Regions from separate parts of the Mus musculus genome. Here region 2 is reported to be linked to region 1. Evidence: microRNA targets listed by miRTarBase, many of them from high-throughput screens and not tested one by one. Region 1 holds a microRNA gene; the other region holds the end of a gene's coding sequence.
What was found. Region 1 holds the annotated microRNA mmu-miR-19b-3p (UGUGCAAAUCCAUGCAAAACUGA, at 1,215-1,237, shown strand). A microRNA usually pairs through its seed, bases 2 to 8, with sites in the 3' UTR of a target mRNA and lowers its output. Matches are read on the target gene's strand: a 7mer-m8 pairs with bases 2 to 8, a 7mer-A1 pairs with bases 2 to 7 and ends in A, and an 8mer does both.

Region 1 (3,154 bases):
AGGTTTAATGGAGAAAATGGGTCCATAAATGTTTAAACAGAAGTAGAGCCCTTTGAAATAGATGAAAATGTGACATCTCTAGGCCATCTGTGCGGTATGTGAAGAGTGTAAAACTGTTTCTTAAAGCGGCTCTGAAATTTCTATCATTTTCTCTTAATGGGCTGGGGGCAGGGATGCTTCATGTAATCAAACATAGAGACCTTCCGAGTGGCTCCCCAAAGCTCTGGATGAGCTCAAGACGTCAGTACTCACCCTAATGTTATTTATTTATTTTTTTGCTTACATCTTTTCCTGGGCTCTTGCCTCTTAGAAAACCATGGTGGATATTACAGCTCTGCAAATTTTCTGGGATGCGAATCTCAAATTTCCTTAGACGGAGAGGGAGTCCAAAATCCTCTTACTCTTAAGAGTCAGACATTCTGAGATTGCCAGTGTTATTCATGTTTAAGTCTGTGTAAATAATTGAGCTTATTAATGTTTGAAGTAACACAACCCCATTTGCACTCTTAACGGAAGGCAAACTTGTTTTAGAAATAGTAACTCACAGTTCACTTACTTGCTGTGTGTGTGTGTGTGTGTTTATCCAGGTGAGTCTGCAGATCTGGCAAAGAAGAGTTCGTGGAAGACTTCAAGGTTACACTCCTGGAGTATGCCTTGGCCATGTCAAAGTGCTAACAGTGCAGGTAGCTTTTTGAGTTCTACTGCAGTGCCAGCACTTCTTACATTACCATGGTGATTTAATCAGAGGCCGCTGAGTCCCCTGGTTTCTGCATAGTTAGATTGTGGATGTTTTTGAGCTGCTCCTTGTAATGTGTCTCTTGTGTTAAGGTGCATCTAGTGCTGTTAGTGAAGCAGCTTACAATCTACTGCCCTAAATGCCCCTTCTCGCACAGGCTACTTCTTACCTTGCATTTGAAAAGCATATCTTGAGAAATGATTTGAACGGCACAAGTTTCAAAGGCTCTTTCAGTGTTTCGCCGAGAAACAGATGGCGGAGACTGTAGTATACAGTTGTGTAGAAGAACAAGCTCGGATCCTAGTAGTGCCAAAGTGCTCATAGTGCAGGTAGTTTTTATACCACTCTACTGCAGTGTGAGCACTTCTAGTACTCCTGGATCAACCAAGGTCTTGTTGAAGCAACTACAGCGCAAGGACATTGCTACTTACGATTAGTTTTGCAGATTTGCAGTTCAGCGTATATGTGAATATATGGCTGTGCAAATCCATGCAAAACTGATTGTGGGAATGTGTACCTTTCTGCATCGTAATGGACACCTTTATGCACATCTTCAGCATCCATGCCCATTCATCCACAGGTGGGGATTGGTGGCATTACTTGTGTTAGATATAAAGTATTGCACTTGTCCCGGCCTGAGGAAGAAAGAGGGTTTTTAATCGTCTTTTAGTTTCTGAGTATTGTAAGTTATGTTAGACTGTAATTATGAAATGAACTGTTTTGCTGTTATCAGGTGGAACACGATGCAATTTTGGTTGGTGTAATAGGAGGAAAATTGCACGGTATCCATCTGTAAACCGCAGGACCTATGTGGACAGCCGTCTATCAGTGCTATAGTAAGATTGTAAAATCCTTTAGCTAGTCATTGCTTTGAACACATTTGGAGTGGATTTTTTTTTTTTTTTTTTGGTTTTTCAAGACAGAGTTTCTCTGTATAGCCCTGGCTGTCCTGGAACTCACTCAGGGTGGCCTCGAACTCAGAAATCTGCCTGCCTCTGCCTCCCAAGTGCTGGGATCAAAGGCGTGCGCCACCACGCCCAGCTTGGAGTCTAATTTTTTAAAACTACATATTTTTAAATATATTTGAAATCCTGACATTTTGATTGCACTGAATGTAAACAAACCTGAAATTTGCAAAATAAAGCTGATATATAAGTCTGAAAAAAAATGGGTTTCTTTTTTCTTTTTTAAAAGATTCTATTTATTTATTTATTTATTTATTTATTATATGACAAGTACACTGTAGCTGTCTCCATAGACACCAGAAGGTGGCATCAGACCCCATTCCAGATGGTTGTGAGCCACCATGTGGTTGCTGGGATTTGAACTCAGTACCGCTGGAAGAGCAGTCAGTGCTCTTAACCACTGAGCCATCTCTCCAGCCTGGGGCTCTCTTTTTTTTCTCTCTTTTTTTTTATTAGGTATTTTCCTCGTTTACATTTCCAATGCTATCCCAAAAGTCCCCCATACCCACCCACCCCCACTCCCCTACCCACCCACTCCCCCTTTTTGGCCCTGGCGTTCCCCTGTACTGGGGCATATAAAGTTTGCAAGTCCAAAGGGCCTCTCTTTCCAGTGATGGCTGACTAGGCCATCTTTTGATACATATGCAGCTAGAGACAAGAGCTCCGGGGTACTGGTTAGTTCATATTGTTGTTCCACCTATAGGGTTGCAGATCCCTTTAGCTCCTTGGGTACTTTCTCTAGCTCCTCCATTGGGGACCCTGTGATCCATCCAATAGCTGACTGTGATCATCCACTTCTGTGTTTGCTAGGCCCCAGCATAGTCTCACAAGAGACAGCTATATCTGGGTCCTTTCAGGAAAATCTTGCTAGTGTATGCAATGGTGTCAGCGTTTGGAAGCTGATTATGGGATGGATCCCTGGATATGGCAATGGCTCTCTTTTTAAATTAGCAATACTATTGGCTTTTCTAAAATAGCGTCTTGGTATGTAGCTCTGGTTAGCTTGGAACTCAATTTGTAAACTAGGCTAGCCTTGAACTTGCGGAGATCTGTGTGTTTCTGCTTCTAGAATGCTGAGATTAAAGGTAGGCACCCCTCCACTCCTAGACTTCCAGCATTTACATACATTTATCTATCTATCTATCTATCTATCTATCTATCTATCTATCTATCTATCTATCTACTTATTTAGTGTGTGTGTCATGTGGTGATTTGAGAACAACTGTAGGGAGCTAGTCATGTGGGTCATGGACATACATCTTAGATTTCTTAGGCCCGATGGCAAGTGCCCTTCCCCCACTGAGCTGAAAACAAATTTTATAGGGTATGTCTTGAAGGAACATTTGAATATAACTGGAATTTAAGTTTGCGTTGAGTCTTTGGTTTTATCACTACTGAAAACCCTGCCAGTCCCATCTCCAGAGAGTGACTGTCATCAGGTGAGCCCTCAGGA
Region 2 (3,092 bases), not on the chromosome of region 1:
CTTCTTCCTTCCTCCTACCCTCCTCATGGTCCTTTCTGAGCCAAGCCCTCAAAACTTCAATCCCACCTCTGTCTCTTCTGGCCAGCTGTTGGCTGTTGGCATTTTTATTTACCAATCGCAGTTAACTGGGGACTGGGTCACAGGGGCTACTAAGTTGAAATATCTTCACTTTTTCCCAAGTAGCCGTGAAAATGGTAACAAATAAATTTGAATATGAAAGAGACACACTCTTAGTACATGCACACATGTGCGCGAGCATGCGCACACTCAAGCATGCACGCACGCACGCACGCACGCATGCACGCGCACAGGAGCATGGACTTTGTTTGCTCAGCCCCTCTGCTAAATGATGTGCTTTTTCTATTTGCAGAGCCCACACTTGTTTTAACCGCCTGGATCTGCCTCCATACCCTTCCTTTTCCATGCTTTATGAAAAACTCTTGACAGCAGTTGAAGAGACCAGTACCTTTGGACTTGAGTGACCTGGAAGCATGATGCTCAGCTCTTCATGGCCAGGCGGTTCTAGAAGCTGGCCTCCCGAAAAGTGGACACAGCATTGGTAGCCTCAAGCCTTGGCTTCCATTATAACAAACTGAGTGCTGCTTTCCGGGAACACATGCTCCTGTGTTTGGGGACTGGCTGTGAGTTCTTTTGGAAGGATTGGGGTGAGCTTGGTGCCCATGGAACAACCCAACAGTCTTTCAGTCAACAGTTCTTGACTGCCAAACCTTTCCCATTTGGTCCCATGTTCCAAGATAAAAGAAGAACCTGCACATGATAAACTCCATGGTGACTTTTAGGGACTCAGGAGAATCTTGAAACTCTCCCATACATAACACTTCAAGCCAAACTGGCAGCACTGACCCAATCTCTAAATTAGCGCAAGTGAAATGAAATCATTAAAAAAATATATATTTCCTGAAAGTACATTTGTTTAAGCCCTAAGTTATAGCAGAATATTTATTTCTTGCTTATGAGTGCCTGCATGGTGTGCACTATAGGTTTCAACCTTCACAGGACAAGTGTGAAAAAGGAAACCAAGTCATTATGCGATAACTTTAAAGATAAGGTGGTCTGTGACAATGTATATGCAAGTGGTATGTGTGTAATTATGGCTGAAGACAAACTTACTCAATGAATCACTAATGACCGATTTTATGCTTTATAATGCATGAAAACAATTTTAAAATATCTAGCAATTAATCACAGCATATCGGGAAAATGTACACAGTGAATTCTGTTTATTTTTTATAGGTTCATCATATTTCTGTTCTTTAAGATGTATATAAGGACCTACCTACCATATTGTATGTACCACCTCTCCATCTTCATGTTCCATGCTTACTCGGGCATCTTGTTAGTATGTACCCTTTTAAGCACGCTCAAGGGAACTAAAGGGCCTTTTATTCTTATAAAAGTTTAAAAAAATCCCCAAAATATTTTGCACTGAAAGTACCAAAGGCGAAGGGACACTACAATATGACTAACAGCAGCTCCATCAGTTGACGACTACAATAGAAGTAGCTTTTAAATCAGACTTCCTTCACAGTTGCCATGTCAACCACTGCAAGGACTGTGCATCTAAGTAATAATTTTGTAAGACTCACTCTATGTGATAGTATGATATGCATTTATTTAAAATGCATTAGACTCTCTTCCATCCATCAACTACTTTACAGGATGGCATTTATTACTGATATTTCGTATTTCCCCCACTGCTTCTTATTTGTACAGCATCATTAAACACTGAGCTTGGTTAGGGAGCCATCAGCAATGCCGGAGAGATCAGCTCTCTTTCATAGTAAGAGTTCCATTTTCTCACATCAGTGAAGGTACCATACATTGAAACTCTCAGTACTATATTTCTAAGCCTGCATTTTCACTGATGTATAATTTTCTTATTAATATCAAGAAAAAATTTTGTATGGTCTCTCAGAAACTGCATGTCATCACTGACGGGTCTCCTTAATCTGATGAAAAGGATTTCCTTCATTTCGATTGCTTTGGGGACTGTTCCGTGTTGTTGTTTGTCCCTTGACTTGTGACCACAACTAATCAGACACATGTACAGTGAAGTGGAATTGAGGTGGGTAAGACCATTAGCTTAACATTTAATTTGCCAGCCTGAGGGGTTTACAGGCATTACCTGAACACTGCTTTGAGAATTTCTTTATAGGTATCATGGGCTTCCTGTTGTGGGATGTGGGTAACTTTACATTTTATACGGGTTACATACATCGTCTTCATAGGTGTTTTGTAAGAACAGTTACACGCCTGTTTGTGAAGCTGTGTTTACTGTTGGGACCCTCAAGAACAATGACACTCATGTTCTGCTATTGTGTTAAAGATAAGTCCTGGATATGGGAAAATGTTCTAGGAGAAAACAAATTACAGAAACCTGGAAAAGATATATGGAATATTTATTTGTATATCATAATTGGGCCAGAAAAAAAGAATGACTAAAATTTTTGACTGGAATTATTAGTTTGTACTTATTTGTCATGAATACAGTATATATTTAATTTTTGCAAACTGCTTTTACTCGTTTGTATTTTTTCATCATAAGGAAAACAGAGCATGCTAATACATTTTTAAAATCACATTTCGCTTCGTCAGAGCATTCCCTAAGAGTTGTCACAGGGGCCTGTTAAGAGAGAGCTGCCTTTCTTTCAAAAATACATTTATAGGCCACATTAGTGCTCCTTTGGTTTGAGACACTTTGCCACCATATGCCATATTACTAGGCAGAAGAGATTTCAAATAAAATATACCTCTTTAACTATTTCTAATAAACGTTGTTTGCTGTTGATGCTAAGGCAGCCAACTTCTCAAATAACAGTTTTAAATGTATCCAGACACTCTTAAAGTGGTAGGACTTGTCCTAGTTGGCACTGTTCTCAGAATTGGGAATTATCAAATTGTAGCTAGCATATTAGAAGACTGTGTTAACCCATTATTCTTCATAGGCAAAACAAAAACAAAAAAAAGACAATAATATCTCTATAAAAGTTAAATAACACATCCACAGAATAAATTAGCTGTTATTGTACCCTACAATTAGAAATATTCATAAATATGCTTTTCTGGACTGT

Region 2: miRTarBase lists Hecw2 as a target of mmu-miR-19b-3p. Seed matches in the 3' UTR shown: 7mer-m8 at 1,441-1,447.

What each region holds. Positions count from the first base shown.
Region 1 is chrX:52,740,074-52,743,227 of GRCm38, reverse strand. It overlaps Mir19b-2 (microRNA 19b-2), which reads left to right and starts at 1,162; the gene lies at 1,162-1,245. Mir363 (microRNA 363) reads left to right here and starts at 1,461; the gene lies at 1,461-1,535. Mir92-2 (microRNA 92-2) reads left to right here and starts at 1,300; the gene lies at 1,300-1,390. Mir20b (microRNA 20b) reads left to right here and starts at 1,036; the gene lies at 1,036-1,115. It also overlaps Mir18b, Mir106a and Kis2.
Region 2 is chr1:53,810,612-53,813,703 of GRCm38, reverse strand. It overlaps Hecw2 (HECT, C2 and WW domain containing E3 ubiquitin protein ligase 2), which reads left to right. Exons shown (of 29, transcript NM_001001883.3): 29 at 371-3,092. The coding sequence ends at 482. Among named protein-coding and RNA genes, the nearest start is that of Stk17b, 27 kb to the right of the region's middle.